Coturnix japonica: one gene and its partners. The main gene of each other region encodes a partner of the protein of the gene in region 4 in a complex. Links are inferred from orthologs where the notes say so. Each region holds a gene or a part of one and is shown on either strand. Other genes may lie near its edges. The genes, in order: CRIPT, RBM22, SNRPF, RNF113A, BCAS2, SNRPG and RBM48.

Region 1 (4,011 bases), on a different chromosome or scaffold from region 4:
TTGCACGACTAAGCTGACTTCAAATTGTATTCTACCACTCCTGACCCAGCTATGTTTTACTCCTCTAACCTGTTAAATTAGGATCCACACCCTCAATGGTCCTATTACAAACTGTAACTACAAAGAAATCTCCCAGATTTAATTTCTGCAGATTTAGTCATTCAATGAAATGCAATTGTTCTGACACTTTTCAACTTCACTTTTTATAGTTTACCAACTTTCAGTGAGTCACAATGGCTTCAGTTGGTGGGGGCCTCAAAGCCCACCCATTTCCAACCCCCTGCCATGAGCAGGGCTGGCCACCACCAGCTCAGGCTGCCCAGACCCCCATCCAACCTGGCCTTAACACCTCTGGGGATGGGGCACCACAGCTTCTCTGGGCAGCTGTGCCACTGCCTCATCAAGTTTTAGTAGTAATGAGCTGTTCCCAATTTTACATCTCAGTTCCTACACAAAGAACAAAGCAATACTCTGCAATAACGAAGGTCAGGCCTAGACTGCAAAGTGAATTTCGTGCCCACTCTGGTGTGCCCCAATTCCTACCAGCATGCAGTCAGTGATAGACTTGTGACTACAAATCACAACCCCATGGGCAAGAAGTGTCAGGGATGCTCAGCCCAGAGGGCTGCTGGCAGGTGCAGACAGAGTTAAGCTCTGCAACTCATGGAAAACAAGAATTCACCACCAGAAGTTGTAACTTCTTTCTCATCACATCATTTCAGTGACAGGCTTAGCATCCTCTCCACATCACTCGATAGGAATCTAAGAAAGAAACAAATCTTACCTTGTTAGACAGCGAGCTTCTCTTAGAAGACGGACTTGGCTTTAGGATTAAACACAAGGTTACGTTAAGGACGCTAACACAGACAGAACAAACACACAGCCACGTGAGGTGAGTGCCCAAAACCGAGAACCCATCCAGGAACAAGGCCGGTACGAGTGCGGTCAGGACGATGGAGACGAAGCAGAGCAGGTTGGCAGCCAGCAGCCTCCTCAGCTCTGCCTCCTTCATGGCGCCGTGCCGCCGGCCACCTGCAACACAGCGAGCGGCACTCGGTCAGCGGGACTCAGCCGCACCAGCGGGGCAATGAGGGCGTTCTGGGGGAGAAAAGGGCTTTTTAGTGGTAGATTAACGACCCTCACGCTCGCACAACGTCCTAGGTCAGGCTCGCCCCGCGGGGCGGCCTAACAACGTGCGGGGCCCACCTGGCCCGTACCCGGGACGCCGGCCGCCCGGCAACGGGATGGCGTCAGCTCCGGGGCGGGTCCGGAAGCGGCGGTTGTTGTGCTGGGCGGCCATGGTGTGCGAGAAGTGTGAGTAGGGTGGGATTGGGGGGATCCCGGCACTAAGCGGGGTCTGAGGGCAGCGCAATTCTAATCGTTTATTTCGTGGTGTTTCTTTCCGTAGGTGAGAGGAAGCTGGGCACCGTGATCACTCCTGATACGTGGAAGGATGGGGCGAGAAACACCACAGGTAGTGTCGGTCGCTGGGTGTTCCCTGCGGGTCGTCCGGAGGGTTCGGGGGGCAGCCCCAAAGCCTGCTGGAGTTACCGGGTTGGCCCTTCACTGCTGTAGTTTCCATTGAGTGCAGTGAAGGGTTGTTTACCTCGAGCTTTTTGGCGTTGAATTTGTCCATCTCATTGCAGCCTTCCGTATTTAAAATGGGATCATTACCGGGGGGGGGGGGGGGGGGGAGAATCAACTTTTTACTTGAATAGGTAATGATAGAATGAGAGGTAATGGTTTTAAGCTCAAAGAGGGAAGGTTTAGATGGATGTTAGGGGAAGCTCTTCACACAGAGTGGTGAGGTGCTGGGGAGACTGCCCAGAGAGGCTGTGGAGGTGGTGAAGACCAGGTTGGATGGAGCCCCAGGAAACTTGGTTTAGTACCAGATCTGGAGGTTGGTGGCCCTGCCTGTGGCAGGGTGCTGGAACTTAACCATCCCTGGGGGGTCCCTTCCAACCCAACACTTTCTATGTTTACATTATGATCTTTCCCCTCATGTGGAAGGATGATATGCAGGGCCTGCCCATGCTATGTGCTTCATGCTTCACTTTGCTCTGATCACACATGCCCACATGTGGCAGTTGGAAGCTGGACTGTGAAATGCATTGCCTTGTGGTTGTATTTTTTTTATAGAAAGCGGTGGCCGTAAGCTGAATGAAAACAAGGCGTTGACCTCAAAGAAAGCAAGGTTAGTATTTAATCCTCATTTCAGCTTAAAAAATAATTCAATTTTCTGTAACTGAGACCTTGCATTCTCACAAAGCAGGGTAATTCCTCAAAACTTGTCCAAAATACAACTTAATTTATTCATTTCTTTTAACATGTTAATCCTTGGTGGCAGTGTGTATTTATGTATTTCATTGGGGCTTTCTGTGGAATTACAGAGCATGGGCAGCTGTATTGCTGTGGGCATCCCTAAAATTGGTAGGAATTGCTGTTTGTGTTAAGAGAGGGGCTGAAAAGGCTGTTTGTCTCTGTTTGTTGCAGGAGAGTTGGACTAGATGACATTTAAAGGTCCCTTCCAACTCACATGATTCTGTGATCTTCCATGCTAACATTACCTGTTCAAACGCTTGAGCATCTCCTTAATGTCTAAAGGATATTCTGTTATGCCAGGGGCAAGCCATTGTTGAAATGTATTTTGACTTTGAAATAGGCTTGTATCTTAAGAACAATGTGTGGTTTTAGTTCATCATTTATTAATTTAATTTCTATAACACAAGAAACCTCTCTTAATGGAGAAAATGGGAGGTTTTTTGTAGAAATTCTGTAGTCTATTAGAGTTGACCTCTTTATGTCCCTGTTTTTGATTGCAGTTTTTGCTGGAGTTTTTGTCTATTTCCTCTCGCATAGCATTTTTAGTATGAGATGAAGGAATTACTTTATTTCACTGTGCATAAACAAAGTACTTCTCCATTTTTCCAGGTTTGATCCTTATGGAAAGAACAAATTTGCAATATGTCGAATTTGTAAGAGTTCTGTCCATCAGCCAGGGTCTCACTATTGCCAAGGATGTGCCTATAAAAAAGGTGAGTTTCACTGAGAACTTTATTACCCCGCTTTGATTTGGAATTAGAGACCAAGTAGAAGTCTTTGATTTTGTTCTGTGAGGAAAAGAGAAGGCTGTGATGAGATTCAGTTACTGTCTTCAGCTAATAATAGGAAGGTATAGAAGGTGCACTGAGCCCCCATCACAGTGCACAGTGATGGAGAAGAGTGCAGAATTCTTTAATTCCATGTGAATAAAATAATTTTCACCATGAGGGTGGTCAAACATTGTAATAACAGGGACTCAGAACCCTTATGAAATCTCTACTGGAGAATATAAAATTTTATCAGTCTTGTGAATTTCAGGGGGCAAGCAAAATGGCTCAAACTTGTAATCCATGGGGGGAAAATAGTGCAACATGAACTCGGTTACCTTCTTACTATTGAAGAATTCACTCAGCACGCAGACATGGGCTGGATGAATTGTTAGATGTAGAGTCACAGCTAACTGGTAGTGATTTTTGTTTATGGAATAATGTTAATTGTTCTACAACTTCACACTGTGTCACTGAGTACATGGTTTGGAAGTCTGCTAACGGAGGGCTGCCTCTGGGTCATTAGTCTTCTCTGTTTCAACTCTCAGCTATTCTTGGTGTCCATTATATTTCTCTCTCGCACACTGTAATTAACTTAATTCTGTGAAACTGTATTCTTCTCAGCTTTCTCAGTTGCCGGTTAATCTTTCATTTAGCAATCAGTTTCTTGGCGCCTGTATTTCCTTAACCTTGCTACTTTCTGTCCATCTCAGGCTACAGGAATTCTAAAGTTTAGTTATATGCTATTTTTACCCGTTTGCCAGTTGGGATCCTTTTCCTGGCTGGCCTCCAGTAGTTCAGCAAATTCGAGGCTTCAGGTGCTGCTGTGAATCATAATGCTCTTAAAATAGAGTTTATTTTTTAAGTGGAAGTGTTACATGTATATTGCAATTATTAATTTGTGTTAAAAATCATATTACTA
Region 2 (4,105 bases), on a different chromosome or scaffold from region 4:
GTGATATACTGCAGTGTTCACGGATCTGAGTGGCCGCCAACCGCACTGTAGGCTCGTTGTGTTGCAAGGTGGATGTGGTAGTGTGAATTGTTAGAAGCTGGGAAGTCCCATTGTGCTACGTTTCTTTACTGAGGTGAGAGTGGTCCTGAGAGGCTGCCTGTCAGTCTTTGTGTTAATAAATGTGTGTTAATAGGGATATAGCAATCAGTACTAAGCTCAGAGCATTGAGATTAGTTCTAGCATACTAAAAAACTACAGGGGCTGTCCAAGTTCATACTGTCTTTTCCAGCTGTGGGGTTGGGGGTATAAAGGAAGAAAGGCTGTTATACTGTAACTAGCATACACTGTACTGCTGTTTATATATATATATATATATATATGGGGTGTAATTCGGCCATAGTCCAAACTGCAACTTTAATTAAGAGTGTATGCAGGATACTGAATGCCAGTTCACTGCAAGTGGGTGAGACTGCTTGTCCTTGGGAGGCTTTAGTTTCATTCCCAGTTCAATGTTTACTTTCATTACCCGTTTCTGATGGGCTTTGATGTGCTGGCTTAGGGTGAAGTTAGTGAGTCAGCCAAGGCCGGCTTTGAGCTTCAAATCCTTATGTGGGATGGGAGGGATAAGGCCACATTGCAAACCGAGCAGCCTTAGTGCCCCTCAAAGGGAAGCACCCACCTCACAGCCCTGCTCCTGCAGCACCTCCCAGAGCAGCAAGTCAGCACGTTTACAACGCCTGGGTTGCACACAGGTGCACAGCATGAGCTGAAGAAGTGTACTTTGTATTTATTTATGTATAACGCTAGTGTCTGCTGCTGTTTTACCTTCCGGATAACAAAACACTTAAGCCTTGGCCATGAGTTCTCTCCTTAGCCAAACTAGTAACACTACTACCTATGGAAGCAGCTATTGGGACGCTGATGGAGCCCTGTGGCTGCAGCTCCCGGTTGGGCCGGGTTTGTCCCCTTTAGGTGCTTGTAGGCGATAGGAATTGCCGTCAGCTCTGTCTGTCCGTCTGTCCGTCCTTTCTCCCGGGGCTCAGGAGTTCTCGGTGTTAATGACAGGCGGCTGTTTGCCTTATTGCTTATAACTTCATGTAGTAACCTTCAATAAAGCGACCTTGGCTCTCAGGCTCTGCGCTGTTATTTACACCGCCGTTAGTGGGGAAATAGTGATAATTAGAACATAAAGAGCTGAGCACCCCCCAATGCTTTTGTCCCTATTGCCATTCATTCCGCCACTCCGGCTCAACTCTATGGTTAGCAGAGCCTAGAGCGCCCCCGCCGCTCTTCCTGCACGGAAGTGCCATCCCGCAGCGGAAGTGACATCACTTCCGGGTCCCGCCGCCTGCCGGGATCGAGGCGGAGGGGCCGCCATGTCGACATCGCTGGGCTCCAACACTTACAACAGGCAGAACTGGGAGGATGCGGTGAGTGGGACGGGATCCGGCCGGCAGTGCAGTGCCGTGATCTGTATGGGGGCTGTGCTCTGGATGGGGGCTGGGAGCTGCATGGGGGCTGGGCCGGCGCCATGGGGCACTCAGGGCTGGGGGTGGCCTGTGTGTGTGTGTGTGAGGTGTGTGAGGTGGGTGTTAGAACGGGCCTGGCTGCTGTGCTGCCATCATTATAATAAGGATAAGGGAACAAGGGAACAAGGACGTGGGCTGCAGCTGCTCACACGGCCTCTATGAGCAGATTCTGTTGGCTCCTTGCTCAGTCAGGCTGGGTTTGCTCGGCAGGGTGGATGCCCCGTCCTTGGAGGTGTTCAAGGCCAGATTGGACGGGGCCCTGGGCAACCTGATCTATAAAGGTGTATGTTTGTTGGCCCTGCCAGGCAGGGGGGTTGGAACTACATGATCCTTGAGGTCCCTTCCAACCCGGGTCATTCTGTGATTCAGGGTGAGCACTGAGGGCTGATTCCATTGTTATCGTGATGGTTTGGTCGCTCTGTGCACATTTTCCTTCTTTTTCCTCCTCTCAGGACTTCCCCATTCTGTGCCAGACGTGTCTCGGAGAAAACCCATACATTCGCATGGTATGTGCTATGTGCTGCTTGGACAGTGCGGCCCTGTACTCTGTGTTGGGTGCTGATTAACACTGAACTCTTTGCTTCTGAGTGCTCAAGCAAGGGGGGATGCTGAGGACATGTGCATTCCTGGCCATTTGGCCGTGCACTGCAGGGTTCACTTCATGCCTTTGTTAGTGCATCATGTCATGGTGGTCGGTGCAGGTTTATAACAATAACTCAGTCAAAAAGCTGAGCAGGATGTCACGCTGTAATGTCTGCAGTGCAGGAAATACCAGTAAAGCTTTGATACCAGTAAGTCGTGTGACGTGGGAAGCAACGAGCTGCTGGGATATTAAATAGATGAGCACCATTTCTAACGTGCATAACATGAAAATGAACCTGAACTGTCATACAAAGGCTGCTGGCAGCAATTTCAGTGCTGTTTTGTTGACTTTGGTTTCATCTGCCCCAGATGAGTCAGGCCATTCCATGTTCCTTTTCTCAGTGCTCAGCCCAATTATGCCATACCTGCAGATTATCTTTGCCTCACATTTCCTTTCCCCAAGTTTGCTGAGAGCTGTTATGTTTTTATGAAGCATGACACGATTGTCAGCATAGATATGTAAAAAATGGCTTGTTTTGGTGCATTTGTTTTATGCAGTTGCATCATCTTCGCTTAAAAATAGCTACTAATGACCTGTTTCATGATCATTTCTCTATGGTACGTGAAGTTGGGCTCATAATACTTTGTTTTAATGGGTGCTTCTAAAACAGAAAACAGGTTGAGAGTTTCTTAGATCTTTGTGGTCCTCTTTGCCAGGCAAGGGGAGATTCTGCTTAAGCACCAAAAGTAGAGGTGAGCCAGTCTACATGTACTATAATAAGAACAGGATCACTGTGCTGTAAGTTCAATGGTACGTTTCATCATTCACAATGTTTTAATATCTCATGTTTTCTCTCCCTTCTTATTTATTATATTTCAGACCAAAGAGAAATATGGAAAAGAATGCAAGGTACGTTGGTTGTCTTTTGAAGAACGAGCTTCTGTATTGGTGAACATCTGGCTGTAATGTGGGTTTTGGTTCTCAAAAGATCTGCTGGCGTCACGAAAGAGTTTATCTTGGCTGAGAGCTTAATGCACACATAACTGCATGGAATGTGAGGTGTATCATCTCCATGTTCATTGTTCTTGAGCTGTAAAAGGTTGTTCTAACGGAGTTAAGATTTGCTCACGTTTATGAGAATTATTAGGTTTTGCTCGAGTATCTTATATTTCCTGTTGCAAGTTTGTTTTTACTGCTATGTGATGTGTAAGTAACAACAGTTTTGGTTTTGCTCTGAATCTGCTGTTTTTTGCCAGCTATCAATTAGTGTTAGTTATTGTATGAAATAAGACAGGTTTGTAACTGAGAGAGCAGGAATTATTTAGCTTTTACTTGACTTGATTTGTCCCTCTGCCCCCTTTATCAGTTGTCACCTGAGGCACAGACAAGGTATGTGCTGAGATCTTGCTTCTGCTCCTCAAATGTGCAGCAGAAGCAGATGCATCTTTCCAACACATAACAAATGGGGCAGTACTTTTTTATCAATAAGCTCTCATTGGGCTTGCTGCTGTTTCAGTGACTGCTCAATTTACACGTAATTGGTAATTTGTCTCTAATAGCTCCACGCTGGAGCTATTATATTCCATCTGGAATAAAAAATGAATCCTTTGAGTAGATCTGCTTTCAGCATTCAGGTTACTTTAATAACTCCAGACCTTCCCAAAGCTTCCTCCTGTCACAGTATGGCAGCAAATAGCAATCAGTATTATCCGGAGCTCTTGAACTTTTTTGCCTAGAACTTTAAGATGATGCAGTTGGACTTAGATTTCAGGGAGGCTGGGCGTGTTTGAGTTGTACGCTTCTATGCAGGAACTCGAGCGGCATCTTGGCTGTGCTGTGATAGCAGTTCACTTGTCTACTTTGTGTCTTTCAGATTTGTGCCAGGCCTTTCACAGTGTTTCGCTGGTGTCCTGGTGTTCGTATGCGTTTCAAGAAAACAGAAGTGTGCCAAACCTGCAGCAAGTTGAAGAATGTCTGTCAAACCTGTCTGCTT
Region 3 (3,026 bases), on a different chromosome or scaffold from region 4:
CTGAAAGTATACCTGTGTATTTGAGAATAGATGTAAGACAAATGGTCACTGATGAGACAGCGCAAAGTCACACACAAATCCATGAGGTACAGCCATTTGTGTTTTGGCTTGTAGAACCTCTCTCCAGCCTAGAGATGCAAGTAGATCCTTCACAAGGGGAGGCTCTGACTAGCAGCATCAGCAAAGCAATGGTTACCTTTAGGAAATGCTGATAGGTACAGAACAGCTTCGGTTAATGTCAATGGTTGCTCTTAACATTTGAGAAAGCAATTATGTTCCTGCCAAAACTTCAGTTATCTGGATGCCTGATAACAAAGAGTGGCCTGTTGTTAGTGTTTTGTGTGTTCTTTCCATAATACTGCAGATTGAGATCAGGCATTCCCATTCCACAGGCTGTTTTAGCTCTATGAATGCCACTGAAATTCATGACTCTTTATAGCCTCTGGGTGAACTCCCCCCATAGTCAAATACAAGAACAAAATAAACACCTGATGACAACGTTGTGGAAAAGAAAAAAAAAAAAAGAAAAAAAACCCTTTATTTCCAGATATACAAATCATCATTCTCTCATTTCTCCATCTTCTTCCTCTTCTTCCACACCTCTGATGTACAAAACATTATTGCACCTGTAAATAGAATCAAGAGCTCCCTTAGTTGAAATGTCTTAATTTCCCTCGCAAATACAATGTTCACTTCACATGGGAGTTACAGCAGCATTTAGTGCTCCAATACACAGAATCACACAGAATCACAGAATTACCCAGGTTGGAAGGGACCTCAAGGATCATGTAGTTCCAACCCCCCTGTCTGGCAGGGCCACCAAACATACACATTTACTAGATCAGGTTGCCCAGGGCCCCGTCCAACCTGGTCTTGAACACCTCCAAGGACGGGGCATCCACAACCTCACTGGGCAGCCTGTTCCAGGACCTAACCACTCTTCTAGTAAAGAACTTTCCCCTAACATCCAACCTAAATCTTCCCTCTTTCAACTTAAAACACAAGCACATCCCCTAGATCCACCAGCTTCAACAAAGCAGTAACACAAGACACAGAAGTCCCCACAAGACCCCGTTCCCCAGCTCAGGCACCACGATTACCTTATCAAAACTTCTCCCAGGTGTCCAGACAGTGCTCCATCGATGTACTCTTCTGTGTTTGCAAGCTTGGAACGAAAATCAGCACAAACATTACACCAACAGGAGCCTCACTACTGCTTCCCTCCCACAAGCAAGCAAGGCCCGGGTCCCTCCCTCCATCCCTCACCTGCATGTTCATGTAGCCGTCGACGGAGACGAGGTATCCCTTGTACTCCATCCCCCACTTCAGCTTCACCATCACCGGTTTCCCCGTCAGCCCGTTGAGGAAGGGCTTCGGGTTGAGCGGCAGGCTCTAGGGGAGAGCAATGGTCAGCACCGCCCGCCATCCCAACCGCTAACGACAGCCTCCCCCCACCCTGCCCTGCCCTGCCCTCACCATGGCGATGGGGCGCGATGGCGGCCCGAGAAGCGCAGAGCCAGGCGGGATCGCCTCGTGCGCGCCGCGGGCTGAGGCAGAATGGAAGGCAGCGCTGAGATACCTTCCACTTCCACTTCCGTGCCGCCGCGCCGACCTCCAACCTCTCACCCCGCCGCGCCGCCTTCGCGATTGGCTACGGAGCCACGGAGCGCGAAGGGAAAAGGGGTTGTGGGCTCAATCTTATTAGTTGGAATGGCCGCCCTCCTCATTGCTCCAGCCAATGGTCGTATACCACCTCTGGTTGTGTCGTCTGTGGTGGCCGGGGGGTGGCAGCGCAGCACTGTGCCGCCGCTCTGCTCTGTTAGGCCTTTGCCCCTCCATCCCTCTCCTCCCCTTCCCTGTCCACCTCTCCCTCAGCCCCCGGCTGCCTCACACCGTGTCTTCTGCAGATCCAGAATGTCCCCCCTCACATCCCTACCTTTATGGATGGATAGGATAAGAGCAGCAATTACGATTCTTCTTAATAAATGTTTATCTGAAGTGCACTCGTATTTGTTTCTGTGATAATTTATAATGGATGTGTTTGTCCTCATGTGTTGGCTGGGGAACAGAGATAACGTTAAAATAAAGCTTTTTTTTTTCTTTCTGACAGTAAAACTCACTGGGCGCCAGTTGAAAGAGAATTGCTTATAAGTTTATTGCAAGGAAGTTAGTGCTGAGGATATGTAGGAAATAATAAACAATGTGGGAAATCGTGTATATGGACGGTTTTCATGCCCCTTGCAGCAAAGAATAGAGAACTTGGAGTGAAAACATACAAGGCGTCAGAATGCAATGAGCTCAGCATGAGTCCTTTGGGTTAAAGGCCATGGAAGACTTGCACTTTTCTGACAGTTGTTAATGGTGTATATGTGAATGACAATAGAACAATATGAGTGTTTTGTCTGTAAACAGCACTTTTTAGGTTTGGAACCAACTTTTATCATGTCTCCTACTTGTGTTGGGAAAGCTGTGTACCAAGAAGTACAGGACCAGCTACATTCTTTTCTTCATATAGTCAGTTCCTCTGATGCATGACTTGGAGAAGGACTTGGGGGTCCTGGTGGATGAGAAGCTGGATGTGAACCAGCAGTGTGTGCTTGCAGCCTGGAAGGCCAATGGTGTGCTGGGCTGCATTAAAAAGGGGTGGCCATCAGGGAGAGGGAGGTGATCGTCCCCCTCTGCTCAGCTCTTGTGATGCCCCATCTGCAGTACTGTGCCCAGACCTGGAGCCGTCATCACAAGAAAGCTGTGGAACTCTTGGAATGGGTCCATAAGAGGGTCACTAAGATGATCATAGGGGTGGAGCACCTCTCCTATGAAGAAAGGTTGGGGGAATTGGGCTTGTTTAGCTTGGAGAAGAAAAGGCTCCGGGGAGAACTCATTGTCGCCTTCCAGTATTTGAAGGGAGGGTAGAAATAGGAAGGGAAACAACTGTTTATGAGGGTGGATGGTTGTAGGACAAGGGGGAATGGTTTTAAATTGAGATGGGGAGGTTTGGGTCAGATATTAGAAGAAAGTTTCTCACA
Region 4 (3,500 bases):
CTCGTCTCACAGGTGAAGGCTGCACGACCCTATTTTTTTATATGTATTTTTTAAAGGGTGCCTTAGAGTTAAGAAGGGGAGGAAAGCAGTTCTTAGTTTTGGGCATTTTCTTAGAGCTAGTCGGATTTGTGTTGTTACTGGGTAACTTCTGAGGGTGCAGAAAGGAGTGCATTCTTAAGCTTGGTCACTTCTTTATGGTGGAAAATGAGAACCAGAAGGTAACCTGAGGCTGTCGCGGGCACATTCACTGCACTGGGCTTTCCTCTGCACTTCTGAGCTCTGCTCCAGCTCTGGAGAGAGCTTTTAAGACTCCTCTCAGTTGAGGCTGTGTGCTCTGAGCTCCAGGTCAGATGCCATCCCCATCTCCTCCCATGGCTGCCTGGGTCATCAAATCCTAATGTGTAATTCTGTGCAACATACCAGCTTTTCTAACCTCCCACAGCACATCCAGCTCAGCCTCCTGTTAGCTGGGCTGCTTTTACAGCATGGAATATCCATACCAGCCCGTGCTCAGTGACTTGGCATGGAGGGAAAGTAATTTTCACACCAAATCCTCTTACTCACAAAACACCTCTTTGAATGTTACGCTCACTGATCTAAGCCCTCTGTTGCCATTGCTGTACCATCATCCCCAAATGAATGAGATATAAAAATCCTTTGCTTGCTTTTCACACAGCTTCCCTTGATCCCTGGCTGTGACAGCTCACAGCATTTGGTTTTGGAGGCGTGTTTAAGGCTTTTTAGTTTGACCTTTCCAAGGACCACAGGTGCTGGAGCTCTTTCCACTCTCAAATGAAGCACTGGGATTCCAGCCCTGTAAGCGTGCTTGATGGGAGGAGCGGTGCTGACAGCAGGTCCTTCTGTTTGTAAACGACTTGAAGCCAGATGAAATTTGTTACTCTAGTTTTTGGGTTTTTTTTTTTTTTTTTTCCAAAATAAAATATTTCTGAAGTTTGTAAGTCTGCTGTTTCTGCAGGGTGATGGAAGCTTATGCTCTTCTCAGCTCCATACTTAGGAGGTTGCATCTTGCAGTTCAACCCATTGTGAAGTTTCCTTCTTGCCCAAATTCTTATCCCCATCCCACAGGCCTGGACAGAGCTGGTTGCAGCAAGGGAAAAATCATTGAGAGAAGTACCACTGATGGCATAAAACCTTGCATTAGGGACATGGTACAGCTGCTGGCTTCCTCCCCAAGGGATGATTCCACAGTGGTATCACTCTCTGAAGTCCTGAATCCTGTTTGATGTTACTTTAAGCTCTTGACTTCTAGAGATCAAAAGGCAGCAGAAAAGATGGGAGGGAATACGCTCCTCTGAGCTGCAATAAATCACAACTAACTGCAGCAGTCTGGCTTACCTCCCAAACAGCATTTCCAAAGTGACAGATAAACTTGGTACAAGCCAATAGTTTTCATTCTTCTCTCTGCTTTTAGCATTTGATTTGACTGAACAAAATTCAGACCCTCCCTCCCCAGGCCCTCGTGGTCCTACTAATGGCACAGAAGACAACTCAGCTTACCCATTCTGTCCTGTGTCTTCTCTGACAACTGGCACCACTCGTGCCCCCATTTTAACAAGGCCTGGTTGGATGAACCACCAATGGCTGCAGCTGCTGGCCCAAAGGCAAGTGCTGTGATCTGTGCATTCTTCCCATGAAAACTTTATTGGGCTCCATACAAAACAGAGTGCTTTGCTAGTGTGGGTCTTCACCATGTTCTGAGTGGTCTGACTCCTCCTCTTCCTCCTCCCCTTTGTGTTTTTCCAATTTTGCCATGAGCTCTGAAAAGCAGGAAGATGCAGGATGAGATTCCAGGTGCAACATGGAATGGCCAGTAGCAAAGCTGGATGCCCAGGACCTGCCAACACAGCTCTGTCCTGGAACCAAAGCACCTACCAAAAATCACTCATCTGCACAAAAGCTAAGCCAGGAACTACCACCAAACACTGAGCCCTTCAGTGGGGCTTCAGATGCTAAAGTTCCAGGCTCTGTCAGTGGATTACTGACCAGAAGAGCTACTGTCTGCACTCCCAGCACCCTCACCAGAAATCAGTCTCCCCCTCTGGGCAAACACAAACACTCTTTTTTTACCCCTGTGGTGGCACCCAGGCCCTGATGTGGTGTTTCCAAGCACTGAGAGAAGTTCTGCCTGTGAGCTCCACCTTGCAGCCGAATGCTGTGATCATACAGCAGCTCTATCCCACAGGTGGCCGTTACCTTTGGCTGGGTTGAAGACTCCATTGGTCTGCTTATCACACACGTAACAGCGCTGGGATTTGCGATAGTGTTGGAGGGCACAGCTCTCACAGAAGTAATGCCTGCACCTGTATGGAGAAACAGACGGTACTGCCAGTCACCAGATACAACTGCTGCATCCAGGAGTTAGAGATCATCAACTACTGAGCCCTGAGGGATGCAAAAATAAGCTGGATGTACAGAGCCCTATGCAGCATCAGCTCTCCCAGAGACAGCACAGGTGCAAGGTGATGTGATCAGGCAGCATCTATAGAAATATAAAAGGTTCTTGGACAACAAAGGCTTGAGACCCCACCAAGTTGATGCTTGAGATGTAGTTATGAAACTCCCTGCATAGCAGAGGCTTTCCCCACCCACCAGAAAAGCAAACAAGCGTGCTCCTTCCACCAGCATGTGGACAATGCCAGTGTTTGCTACCAAAGAGAATGACTGACTGACTGAAGGACTCAGCCCACTACAGATGTTTTGGCTCCTTACTTGGTGACCACGGGGTTCTTGAAGGAACTTCTGCAGATGAAGCATTTGAAAGGCATATCCTCCTCATCGCTGCTCACCTCATAGTTCTCTTCATCTGCACGAGGGAAAATTAACCAGACTGGAACAAGAGCAGAGGCAGCCAGGCCAGCAGATGCACAGGGCATGAAATATGGAACATGGAGAAAGTACAGCAGGTGGGATGGACTCTGCTGGAAACAACAGCATCTGGGTGTCACTGATGTCAGTAACGTGTGTGGGATTGAGATATAATTAGGTCTAATGAGCCAGTGTGCTCGTTGCTCATCTCACAGGAGCACATTTTGTGCGACACCCACTTGCTGCTATAAACAGACTCATCCTCCAGTTCCTTATTTTTCACATTTTTTTCCAAAACAGCTGCTATTGAACTCTTCAACTCAGAGAACATCCCCTGCAGCTGCCCAGCAGTTCATAAGCTACACTTGGCTGCATCCCTGGGCCACAGATATGGATTCTGAGTGAGAAACAGGGATGTGACAAAGCATGAAAGCATTCCATCTGTGCTGCAGGAGATGGCTCTATCTATCTCCCCATCTCCACGCTGCTTGCTGCTGGGATTCATACAACAACAGACTGCTATATTTTGTATAGACAGACAGAGCAAATTATCCCCCCTGGTAGCAGTCAGTGGTAATCTGAAAGCAGCAGATTTGCACAGCACTGGCAGTTGTTATTGGAGCTAAGGTAACTCCACAGCAGAGAGTTCCATAGCTTTGTGGAATGAGGAATTC
Region 5 (3,556 bases), on a different chromosome or scaffold from region 4:
ATGACTCATATTAGAGGGATGTTTCTCCTCACAGGTGATGTCCCTCTTAACTCCCTGGTCTCTGAAGCTTTCGTGCACTTCTTTGTGGAGATCGTGGGTCACTATTCCCTGCACATGAATGTCACAGAGAAAGGAGAGCGGGTGTTCCAGCGGGAGCCATTCCGTAAATCCCACACGTCGCGCAACGTGCGCCATTTCCTGCACTTCTTCATGGAGACGCAGATGTTTGCAGGGTTCATACAGGATCGAGAGCTACGTAAGAGTGCTGTCAAAGGTGAGGCTTTCTTGTTTTACAAAATTCCACATCTCTCATATCTTTAACTCTTACAAAGCCTTTTTGCCCCAGCAGTATTTCCTATTGGCGTATGTTAATAGCTCCATGCCCTTCTAATTATTCAGTAATCTTATTAAGCAGAAGATGCCTTTGTCTCCTGCCTGGCTTCGGTCCTGTGGCCTTACACACACAATGTTAACGCCTGAGGATCTCATCCATCTCTTCTATCTCTTTAGGCCTTTTTGAGGTCCGTGCCTTGGAGTATTTGGAGAGCATCCCCGAGTCTGAGCCCACAGGGATGAACAGAATCCTTCGCACTCTCGGTAAAGAGACACCTCATTTATTTAGCTTATTTCCCTGCAGTATTTCGCTTTGTGCACACATGCTGCTTTCCTTTGCCTCTCCAAGGAGGCTGTGGGAGCCCCATCCCTGCAGGCATTCAAGGCCAGGCTGGATGTGGCTCTGGGCAGCCTGGGCTGCTGGTAGGTGACCCTGCATATAGCAGGGAGTTAGAACTAGATGCATTGTGGCCCTTTTTAACCTTTTTAACCTTTTTAACCCAGGCTGTTCTGTGGTTTTATGTGTGAAACTGTCATTCAGCGTCCAAATGATGCGTCTCGAAGGCTTAACGTGCTTTTTTTCTTGTTGTTTTTCTTTTCTGTAGGAAGTAAGATGAGATTTCTCCAGAAGAAATGAACGTGGAGCCTCAATGAGGCGGTTGGACAACCAACCCCATCCCGGGGCCGGACTCATTGCTCCCTGTGCAGCTGAGGCGGCTCCGTGCCGCCATAACACGCCGCAGTGCCGCAACCAATCAGCGTGTCCTCTCCTCTGTGGGCGGGGCGGGATGAGGGCGGGGCCGCGCCGTGAGTCTAGGCCTGGGGTGTGCGCATGCGCGGTAGTGGTAACCATCATGGCGGGGCCCGGGCTGGTGGCGGGGGACGTGGTGGTGGATGCGCTGCCGTACTTCGATCAGGGATACGAGGCGCCGGGCGTGCGGGAGGCGGTGAGTGCGGGCCGGGTCGGGCCGAGCCGGGTTGGGCTGGGCTGAGCTGAGCTGAGGCGGTGCGATCCCGGCTAGGCTGCGGCTCTGGTGGAGGAGGAGACGCGGCGCTACCGGCCCACGAAGAACTACCTGAGCTACCTGCCGGCACACGACTGCAGCGCCTTCGAGGTGAGCCAACACGGCCAGCCGCCCCTCAGTGCCCCTCATTGCCCCTCATTGACCCTCATTGACCCTCAGTGCCCCTCAGTGCCCCTCAGTGCCCCTCATTGCCCCTCAGTGCCCCTCATTGCCCCTCAGTGCCCCTCACGGCCCCTCACGGCCCCTCACAACCCCTCATTGACACTCACGGCCCCTTATTGCCCTCTCCCTGCAGACCGAGATCATGCGGAACGAGTTTGAGCGCCTGGCGGCCCGGCAGCCCCTGGAGCTGCTCAGCATGAAGAGGTGAGTGAGGGGGGGCTCCTGGTCTGGCTCTGGGTGGGATCCGAACCGTGCTCCGTTCCAGGTATGAACTACCGGCTCCATCCTCCGGGCAGAAGAACGACATCACGGCGTGGCAGGAGTGTGTTAACAACTCCATGGCGCAGCTGGAGCACCAGGCAGTGCGCATTGAGAACCTGGAGCTGATGTCCCAGCACGGCTGCAACGCCTGGAAGGTGTACAATGAGTAAGGCTGGGGATGGAGAGACAGCATGGGAAATGGTGGTGTGGTGGCTGCAGATAATGCTGTCCTGATCCTCCTCACCTGAAGCCACTGTTGAAATGGCTAAGAAACACATGGAAGTGTGGCTTTGAGAAGCTCTGGGGCTGTTTCAGACAGCTGCTTGCCTTTAGTGGATGGCTGCATGCTGGGCTCTTCTAGGAGGGTTATATGTGAGGCTGGTTAAATTGATCTTATTTAGTAACTGTGTGTTTTTTCTCTTGCTTTGCTTCCATTCTGCTCTCAGACACCTGGTTCATATGATAGAACAAGCCCAGAAGGAGCTTCAGAGGTTGCGGTGAGTGGTTTTTCATAGCTCTATACAGAGGTTGGAAGGGATATAGAAACTCCTACTTTGGGGTAGGAGCTTCCAGGGCAGCCAATTTCAAACTGCATTCATGAGTAAATGAGATGAAGGAGGACAAGACCAACACAGGTCTCTTCATGTTGTTTTTTTCCCCTCAGGAAAAGCATTCAGGATCTGAACTGGCAACGAAAGAACATGCAGCTGACAGCAGGAGCGAAGCTACGAGAGATGGAATCCACGTGAGTAGCTGGGATTTATTCTAACACCCCCTTACGGGGAACAGTGCTGTCATAGCAAACCATCACACGGCTGCTATTGGTTTGCACAGGGTGCTTTAGAGGGTGCATGGTTCAGCTCCGTGTTGATGGTTTTTAGCCCTTTTTTCCTTACAACGTTTCATTTCCTGCATTATACATTGAGGTTTAATAGTTGGAAGCATCTTGTAACCTTGTTCAGGTTGCTCCTGCTGTCAGCTGAGCTGTGTTGGGGCTGATGTTGGTGTTGTGCTTTGTTATGGCAAACACCTTAATGCTCTATGAATCATTCCCTTGCAGCTGGGTGTCCCTTGTCAGTAAGAACTACGAGATTGAACGGACCATTGTACAGCTGGAGAACGAGATATCCCAGATCAAACAGCAGCACGGGGAGGCCAACAAGGAGAACATCCAGCAGGACTTCTGAACGCTGCTCCCTCCTGAACTCCGTGTTTGTACGTTTCCTACGGCGCTGTAATAAACTGCTTTGCCCAATAAAGGCTGCTTATCTCCCCTCCTGGCTGATAAGGGCTGTTCAGCGCCGGGCTTATCAGCAGCTTATCAGCAGCGCTGCGACTTGTGGCTGCGGCCTCCACCCGCGTGGGGGCGCTCGCGGCCGGTCGGTAATTGCGTTTGAGAGGTGTGGGCGGCGCTCTATCCGGCGGTGCGTCACGTGACGTCACGTCTCGTCTGTCCACGCCTGCGCGCGCCCCCGCCCCGCCCTCCCGCCGTGGAGCGCGCACGTCGCGTGGTGACGCAGTGCGTGAGCGGAGCGGGGAGTTGGGTTCAAAGGAGGAAACATGGCGGAAAACAAAGGAGGCGGCGGCGGCGGGGAGGGGGCGGCCGAGCCCGGGCCGGGCGGAGCCGGCTCCATTGAGCCCGCGGCCGCGTCCCCTTCGGCTGCGGCGCCGCCAGCGCCATCCGCGGCGCCTCCGGAGGAGCGGGAGAGCCCCGGAGCGGCACCGGCGGCGGAGCGTGGGCTCGGGGAGGCCGAGGCCGAGGCGGGGCCCGGGGT
Region 6 (2,927 bases), on a different chromosome or scaffold from region 4:
TCCACTAGTGTAGCCTCACTCTTGCTGTGCTAGAAAAGATGAATGCACTTGATTAAAGCTAAATTGCAGGACTTGCACTGAGATTAGCAGCATCACAGGAGTCCGTACGTGCTGGAACACGATTCAACTCTTAGAAGCTTGCTGGTACCCTGGGGTCAATGCTTTGTTCTGTCTGCTTGGGGGCAATGAGAATAACCAAAACCACTTTTGCCTCAGCACAGAGGTGGAGACCAGCACAAAGTTGCAGGCAAACACTTGAGCAGGACAGATATTTCAGTCCCCTTCACTCTTTACAGAGCAATGCTAGGAATAGAAGTGCCACAGCCTGTTATTTATGGGGGGGGGTTTAAAGATATAGCCAGTATCATTTGAACACCCACTCAAAGAAATAAAGCTGCCTGAAAGCCATCCTCCAGCTTTAAAGCTGCCACTGACACACTGCTGCACTCACAAGATTAACTGCCCCAGGCTTCAGTTCCACCAAGCACAGCTCACACGGGTTACACCAACCAGTACAAAATTTATTTAACAAAAAATAAGCTTACACTTGTGGTTGCTTCATTAGGTTCAGGTGAGTAAACAAAACACAACGGGGTCGGGTCACTACAGGGTTCCTCTGCCACTATACTCGTTCCAAAGCTTCCAGCATAATGATGCTGTTTCCTCGTATTACCTACAAAGAGAAGTTGTCAGCAGGAGGTGAGATGAAGCACGTTATGCCCACAGCACAGAAGGTTTTCTTTCCCTTTGACTTTTCCTCCTAGAAAGCTGCATGGCATGTGCAGCTCCAAGAGCTGAAGTGAATGAGAGAACTGCAGGGGCTCATGGCAGCAGTCAGCCGGCTGGAAAAGGCTCCTGCAGGAGGGTGGTTGATAGAAAAGGTGGATGAGAGCTTGATATAAGACAGCAATGTATTCTTGTGACCTCACAGCCAGCTGGGCTGCCACCCCTCTGTTACTGCAGCAGACACGGAGGGCTCTGTCCCATCCTGCTCTGCCCTCCTGAGGCTGTTCCCCATTCCTAGAGGTGCCCAAGGCCACGGATGGGCACTGGGAGGCCTGAACTGAAAGGAAGCCCCCAGCCCAAAGCCCAAAGCCCAAAGCCCCCAGCCCAAGGCACAAAGTGGGCCTGGGGGCTGCCATCCCCCCCAGCACTCACCACCATCCCGATGTTGTTCTGCTGCCCTCCAGGCGCCATCTCCACGCACTCATCGATCACCAGGTTCATGAAGGGGTCGAAGCCCCGTAGGATCCCCTGCACGTGGCGGCCGCCATTTAACTTCACTACGAGAAACCGGCTCATTCAGAAACAAGGGGAGGGGGGGGTTAAAAGGGAAGGGAGGGATGGGGGGGGGGGGGGGGCTTTGTGAATGTGGGCTCATGGCACAACCCCGTTATAACAGCGGGACTCACACGACAGCTTCTTGTCCATGAACCTGCAACGAGAGCGCAAACAGAGCAGGCCGCATCAGTGTGGGGTCGGGACCGCCATCATTGCGGGCCCAACCGGACCCAGACCGAACCCGAACCGGACCCCACGGCCCCTCCCGACCCTCTGGGCCCCCCTCATCCCCTTCAGTCCTCCCTTATCCCCCCTCATCCCCCCTCATCCCCATGTTGGCCCAGCTCTCACTTCTTCAGCTCGGGTGGGTGCGCTTTGCTCATGGCGTCTCCTCAGCGCCGCTGCCGCTCGCGCCGCGTAATGACGTCATCACGTCGCACGCTACGCCCAAAGCCCCGCCCCCTTTTCCCGCCAACCTTCGCATCTCGCCGGCAGCCAATCAGAGCGCTCGGACGCGGCGCGCGTGCGCGTTTGGAGCGGCCCCCATGCAGCACGTGCATGGAGACCTGCAGCTCTGCTGCATTGCATGCACCGCGCATTGCACACCCACTGTATGCACGGCATTGCACACACACAAAGGCACTGATACACGTATTGCAAGCCCTGCACGGCTCACCGTGCACACCTTGCACAGCCATCGGCTCACAGCTGGCAGTGTGCACCCTTTGCACACTGCACCCTTTGCACACCCTGCACCCTTTGCACACCCTGCACCATTTGCACACCCTGCACCATTTGCACACTGCACCCTTTGCACACTGCACCTTTGCACACTGCACCTTTGCACACCCTGCACCCTTTGCACACCCTGCACCCTTTGCACACCCTGCACCATTTGCACACCTGCACCCTTTGCACACCTGCACCCTTTGCACACTGCACCTTTGCACACCTGCACCCTTTGCACACCTGCACCCTTTGCACACCCTGCAACATTTGCACACTGCACCCTTTGCACACTGCACCCTTTGCACACTGCACCCTTTACACACCAGCACCCTTTGCACACAGTGCCCCACACCCTGCAGAAGCACTACCCCACACCTTGCACACCTGCACACACCTTACGCAGCCATCACCCCACACTTTGCACACCTGTACCCTATCTATACACTGCACATTTGCATGGCTCATCCCACCCCCTATACACTGCACAGCCATCACCCCATACTTTGCACACACCCACCCCATACATTACACAGCCACCACCCCACACCTTGCACCCCCACACCCCAAACCCCCAGCACCCCTCGAGCACCACGAGTGCAGCTCCTTGCCTTTAATACCACCTTCCCCCACCCCAACAGCACCCGCTAGTGCTGTAGGGCCGCCAAGCCATCCCGCATCCTCTTGGCCATGCCTGGCACCAGGCGTAGGTGCTCGTCCCCACAGGCAGCAACGCAGGCGTCGAGCTGGGAGCGTGCCCTTGTCTCCCCACCGCCCGCCTCCAGGGCATCCTTGGCTCTGTCAGAGCAGTGCAGCGTGCAGCGGCTCAGGCGGTCCTGCAAGGGGATAAAGGGGCATAGATCAGGAGAGTGATAGAACCACAGGGGTTGGAAGGGACCTCTGGGGCTCCCCCATGGTGA
Region 7 (4,013 bases), on a different chromosome or scaffold from region 4:
TGTTACCCTCTTCTCTCTTCCTCTTACGTTCCTGCAGGTGAGTTGTACGAGGCATAAACCTGTCAATGCCGTTATCAGCTGGAACTGTTCTTTGCTGAATTAAAGGCACTGGTGCAGCACATCCTCCTGGATGCGCCTTCTGAGTTAGGGATGAGCTTTGACTGGAGTTCCCAGAGGTTTCAGCACTGGGGTTGTCGCAGTGGGGAAAAGCCAAAAGGTCCTGACTGTGATTGCCAGAAGGATATTCCATGTTTTGGGACAACCCATGAGGAACTGGAAAGCAGGATGGATCCCAGTGAGTGGCTGCATGTGATCCTGGGGTACTCCACTGAGAATCAGACTTGGTCCTCCGAGGCCTCTCTGTTTTCTTCAACAGAAAGCAGTCTTTAAAACAACAAGAAAAGAAAAGGAAAACAGCTTCATTATTTTATGCCACTGTTAGTTCTAATACATAAAGTGTTCAATACAGTGACAGAAATAATACCAGCAATACTTCATTCCCAGTCACCTTCCTGTGATTCTGCTTAAGCAGCACCTGCAGTGGATAATGATATCCAAGTACATAAGCATAGGAAAGGAGAAGCCTGTGCCTGGCATTGTACTTATTTTACAGCTTGTCCAGCCTTCAGCGCTGCCTGGGAACTCAGCAGCAAAGCTGCCTGTCAGCCCAATCCATTCCTCGTGTTCCTTACTGACCCAAATGACAGGCAGGAAATAAGGGGCAGGGAGGGGGCTCTCTTACTAATCTCTCTTTTTGGGTATGCCTGAAAGAACTGTAACAAGGGGAACAAACTGATCCTCAGTTTCCTGGCAGTACTTAAAATTTCAGGTAACGTTTTGAAAAGAAATGAAGGAAACAATGAGGTTTAAAAGCTTTAAAGTGCATGTTAACTAAAACGTTGCTTTCTGAAAGGTCCATCTCTAGGAATAACTGAGAAATGTCCTAATGTAAAACAGCTAAACACAGTATATTTTCATCAATGGATGCTTTTGGCTTTACCAAGACGTACCAACCACTGGAATTAAAACTGGACATGAGATTTAACTACAAACCTCTTTGATTTGTTGCTTTTGCAATATACTTCCTTCTGTCCTGCAGCTTCTCCCTGGTTTCTTGGACTGTTTCAAATTCTGGAGCGTAGCACACGTGCAGCAAACTCCCAAAGAAACTGCGCTCATCCATCTTCTTCTTGGCCACCCTGAAGGAAACTAAATGGCATTAGCAGAGCTGAGGGTTTTACTTCAACTCTGTATGATGTAGATCATACATAAAGGGGCCGTGAAGGATTAAAACAACAAAAGGCAGATAGTGCTGTGTATAATACCTGGCACATTGCAGATTCTGGAATTTTATCAGATAAACTTCAGTGAACTGCTCTGCGGGATATTCATCAAGTGCATGGTACTCTTCTATGGCTCCGTACAAGGCAAACTGCTCCACTAACTCCTTCATGACGCCCAGCGCAGGAACTCCCTGGATTAGTAAATAACGCGATTCCAAGTTGATGGTGTACACCTGAAAGAAGCACAGGACAATCACAGAATTGTAGGGGTTGGAAGGGACCTCTAGAGATCATCAGTCCAACCCCCTGCCAAAGCAGGCTCCCTACACCATGTCACACAGGTAGGCGTCCAGGCGGGTCTTCAATATCTCCAGAGAAGGAGACTCCACCACCTCCCTGGGCAGCCTGTTCCAGTGCTCCGTCACCCTCACTGTAAAGAAGTTCTTCCACACATTAATGCAGAACTTCCTATGCTGTAGTTTCATCCCATTACCCCTAGTCCTGTCCCCACGCACTACTGAAAAGAGACCAGCCTCACCACTATGGCTTCCCCACCTCAGGTATTTATAAACCTGGATCAAGTCCCCTCTCAGCCTTCTTTTCTCAAGGCTAAACAGACCCACTTCCCTAAGTCTCTCCTCATAGGGGAGATGCTGTTCAATGCTCTAAAATGCCCACGTTTACCTCACTGCGAAAACAACAACTCAAAGCGTTCGTGCTGCCCGCTGTGTGGAGCCACCGCGGGCAGGGATGAACTCAAGCAGGGATGAACACATCACAGAACATCAGCTGGAGCTGATGCTTCTCCAGATGTCAGAGCACCGACACCTGCGGACTAAACAAGTCTCCAGCAGCCCACCCGCCCTCACCCCGCACCTTGACGGCCCTGGGTCGCCGCCCCTCGCGGTACTTGGCCCTGGACCCGCATGCTCCCAGCTGCTGGTGGTGCCTACACGCCTCCCCCGGCCCGCCAGCACCGCCCGCCGCCATCTTCCCGGCCGCCACCGCGGCTCCGGTCGGCTCTTCCGGGAAGGAAGTGGGCGCTGCCGAGAAGCCGGGCGGAACGAGCAACTACAGCCCGGCCCACCCGGCTGGCGGCATGTGGGGCAGCGGTAACCCCGGCGGAGGGGCCGCTGGAGTCGCCGCGGTGACGGTGGTGCTGAGCGGGACCCGGGACTGCTTCCTTCACCTGCCCGCCGTGCTGGCCTCGCACCTCCGCCTGCAGCAGGTACGGGGACGAGATGGGGGCGGCCCGTTCGGAGGGGATTGTGGGAGAGAGGTTCTCCTTCCTCCCCCCATCGTATCCCGTCATCATGGCGGTGCTCAGAGCCCTCCTCGAGAGGACGCACAGTCACCACAGCGACAGCGCAGGGCAACCAGCCGCCCCCCGCACTGTCGCTGTGGTGACTGTGCATCCTCCGAACGGGCCGGGACCCCTCGCCCCTGGACCCAGATGGGTCTGAGTATTTCTGAGTATGATTTGATAGTAATTCGTTTCATCTGCCTGATAATCACAGGGCCAAGCTGTCAAAGTATCCTGCCGTGATGAGCCCATCTACCTGAGCTGGATGGAAATGAGGCATCGAGGTCAGCGGGGTGAAAATATCGCAGAGATGAACAGGCATTTAGCAGAGAAGCTTGGCATTGCAGATGGAGAACAGGTTTGAAATGCAGGTCCCTTTTTTGAGTTTCTGAGTAGAGGTTTTATGTGTTTAAGGAGTTAAATTATTCAGAAATAATGTTGCTTCTATCAGGTGTTCGTGGAGCCCTGTTCACACGTCTCCTCCTGTCAGCAAGTAGAAGTGGAACCGCTCTCAGCAGATGATTGGGAAATACTGGTAAGAAAACCTGTCCCACTGTTCACATCATTTTCATGCAAATGACAGAGAATGTTGATACAAGCTTTTGTCGCAATCCCCCGTTCTTTTCTGCTCCTAAGCAAATGCTAAGTCTTGTGGGTTTTCATTGTATTTTATGTTTCAAATGGTGTATTAGAAAAAGATGTGAATCTTCTATGTTCAAACACATTTTAAAGGTTGTACAAGTGTGTAGCTTACAATGATACCACACTTTCCCAGGAACTGCACGCTTCCTCTCTTGAAAAGCATCTTCTGGACCAGATCCGAATCGTATTCCCCAAAGCCATCTTTCCTGTTTGGGTTGAACACCACACTCACGTTTACATCAGAATTGGTAAGCAGCAGTGAATGCTTTGCTGGTGCCTTGAGTAAGCTGTTTTGCAAGAGTGGATGCATTCATTCATCTGATTTATCCATACTCAGGTACACTTATGCCAGCAGCCCCCTATGGGAGATTAGAACCTTGCACGGAGCTTCTGATCTGCCCCAAAGCGCGTGAGCTTGAGGAAAACGTCGTAGACATGCCTTCTACAGAAGGTGACATCTTACTCAAGAGCTTTGTGAAGAATAGCATGGAGCAAGACGTAACTGTAAAGGAGCCTTTTGCCAGTCAACCTCACTTAAACCCAGGAGTCCCTGAACAGAGTAAGGCTGATGCAAATGTGACGTTTGGCTCAAGTGTTCTCCCAAATATGTGGAATTTCATAGGGAGCATTTTCTCTCGTACAGCTGAACAGAAACAAAAGACTCTGTGTGATAAGGATGAAATGAGCGCCTTCAAAGACAAGCTGCTGAACTTAATTCACATGGATTCCATTTTTAGAGTATGCCAGTCCCAGCCTCCCAGCGTACAGAACGCATCAGCTGTTCA

Evidence for each region.
Region 1: RNF113A (region 4) and CRIPT share a complex: the UniProt entries of both Homo sapiens proteins name them as parts of the minor spliceosome. The link is inferred for Coturnix japonica from reciprocal best matches to the Homo sapiens genes RNF113A and CRIPT.
Region 2: RNF113A (region 4) and RBM22 share a complex: the UniProt entries of both Homo sapiens proteins name them as parts of the pre-catalytic and catalytic spliceosome complex. The link is inferred for Coturnix japonica from reciprocal best matches to the Homo sapiens genes RNF113A and RBM22.
Region 3: RNF113A (region 4) and SNRPF share a complex: the UniProt entries of both Homo sapiens proteins name them as parts of the minor spliceosome. The link is inferred for Coturnix japonica from reciprocal best matches to the Homo sapiens genes RNF113A and SNRPF.
Region 5: RNF113A (region 4) and BCAS2 share a complex: the UniProt entries of both Homo sapiens proteins name them as parts of the pre-catalytic and catalytic spliceosome complex. The link is inferred for Coturnix japonica from reciprocal best matches to the Homo sapiens genes RNF113A and BCAS2.
Region 6: RNF113A (region 4) and SNRPG share a complex: the UniProt entries of both Homo sapiens proteins name them as parts of the minor spliceosome. The link is inferred for Coturnix japonica from reciprocal best matches to the Homo sapiens genes RNF113A and SNRPG.
Region 7: RNF113A (region 4) and RBM48 share a complex: the UniProt entries of both Homo sapiens proteins name them as parts of the minor spliceosome. The link is inferred for Coturnix japonica from reciprocal best matches to the Homo sapiens genes RNF113A and RBM48.

The regions. Positions count from the first base shown.
Region 1 is NC_029518.1:23,890,184-23,894,194, forward strand, and holds the start of CRIPT (cysteine-rich PDZ-binding protein), read left to right. Parts: upstream 1-1,211; 5' UTR 1,212-1,244; coding exon 1,245-1,314; intron 1,315-1,408; coding exon 1,409-1,474; intron 1,475-2,139; coding exon 2,140-2,194; intron 2,195-2,931; coding exon 2,932-3,035; intron 3,036-4,011. Other genes in the region: PIGF (phosphatidylinositol-glycan biosynthesis class F protein), read right to left, coding at 785-1,012. UniProt on the Homo sapiens protein: As a component of the minor spliceosome, involved in the splicing of U12-type introns in pre-mRNAs. Involved in the cytoskeletal anchoring of DLG4 in excitatory synapses.
Region 2 is NC_029528.1:4,991,932-4,996,036, reverse strand, and holds the start of RBM22 (pre-mRNA-splicing factor RBM22), read left to right. Parts: upstream 1-1,305; 5' UTR 1,306-1,376; coding exon 1,377-1,430; intron 1,431-1,981; coding exon 1,982-2,035; intron 2,036-2,991; coding exon 2,992-3,021; intron 3,022-3,985; coding exon 3,986-4,105. UniProt on the Homo sapiens protein: Required for pre-mRNA splicing as component of the activated spliceosome. Involved in the first step of pre-mRNA splicing.
Region 3 is NC_029516.1:41,570,004-41,573,029, reverse strand, and holds SNRPF (small nuclear ribonucleoprotein F), read right to left. Parts: upstream 1,634-3,026; 5' UTR 1,480-1,633; coding exon 1,477-1,479; intron 1,393-1,476; coding exon 1,267-1,392; intron 1,166-1,266; coding exon 1,101-1,165; intron 627-1,100; coding exon 560-626; 3' UTR 501-559; downstream 1-500. UniProt on the Homo sapiens protein: Plays a role in pre-mRNA splicing as a core component of the spliceosomal U1, U2, U4 and U5 small nuclear ribonucleoproteins (snRNPs), the building blocks of the spliceosome.
Region 4 is NC_029542.1:2,233,439-2,236,938, reverse strand, and holds part of RNF113A (E3 ubiquitin-protein ligase RNF113A), read right to left. Parts: intron 2,825-3,500; coding exon 2,731-2,824; intron 2,322-2,730; coding exon 2,215-2,321; intron 1,779-2,214; coding exon 1,693-1,778; 3' UTR 1,519-1,692; intron 12-1,518; exon of another isoform or gene 1-11. UniProt on the Homo sapiens protein: Required for pre-mRNA splicing as component of the spliceosome. As a component of the minor spliceosome, involved in the splicing of U12-type introns in pre-mRNAs. E3 ubiquitin-protein ligase that catalyzes the transfer of ubiquitin onto target proteins.
Region 5 is NC_029541.1:3,877,562-3,881,117, reverse strand, and holds BCAS2 (pre-mRNA-splicing factor SPF27), read left to right. Parts: upstream 1-1,143; 5' UTR 1,144-1,187; coding exon 1,188-1,280; intron 1,281-1,355; coding exon 1,356-1,448; intron 1,449-1,653; coding exon 1,654-1,724; intron 1,725-1,785; coding exon 1,786-1,947; intron 1,948-2,227; coding exon 2,228-2,278; intron 2,279-2,445; coding exon 2,446-2,526; intron 2,527-2,841; coding exon 2,842-2,968; 3' UTR 2,969-3,056; downstream 3,057-3,556. Other genes in the region: DENND2C (DENN domain-containing protein 2C), read left to right, coding at 35-274, 511-597, 939-970; E3 ubiquitin-protein ligase TRIM33, read left to right, coding at 3,342-3,556. UniProt on the Homo sapiens protein: Required for pre-mRNA splicing as component of the activated spliceosome. Component of the PRP19-CDC5L complex that forms an integral part of the spliceosome and is required for activating pre-mRNA splicing.
Region 6 is NC_029537.1:791,647-794,573, reverse strand, and holds SNRPG (small nuclear ribonucleoprotein G), read right to left. Parts: upstream 1,752-2,927; 5' UTR 1,665-1,751; coding exon 1,633-1,664; intron 1,436-1,632; coding exon 1,413-1,435; intron 1,284-1,412; coding exon 1,159-1,283; intron 674-1,158; coding exon 623-673; 3' UTR 501-622; downstream 1-500. Other genes in the region: protein FAM136A, read right to left, coding at 2,655-2,843. UniProt on the Homo sapiens protein: Plays a role in pre-mRNA splicing as a core component of the spliceosomal U1, U2, U4 and U5 small nuclear ribonucleoproteins (snRNPs), the building blocks of the spliceosome.
Region 7 is NC_029517.1:20,669,018-20,673,030, reverse strand, and holds the start of RBM48 (RNA-binding protein 48), read right to left. Parts: upstream 2,801-4,013; 5' UTR 2,599-2,800; coding exon 2,473-2,598; coding exon of another isoform or gene 2,383-2,472; exon of another isoform or gene 2,361-2,382; intron 2,303-2,360; exon of another isoform or gene 2,274-2,302; coding exon of another isoform or gene 2,160-2,273; intron 1,517-2,159; coding exon 1,326-1,516; intron 1,200-1,325; coding exon 1,054-1,199; intron 385-1,053; coding exon 1-384. Other genes in the region: PEX1 (peroxisome biogenesis factor 1), read left to right, coding at 2,383-2,511, 2,801-2,944, 3,038-3,121, 3,362-3,476, 3,566-4,013. UniProt on the Homo sapiens protein: As a component of the minor spliceosome, involved in the splicing of U12-type introns in pre-mRNAs.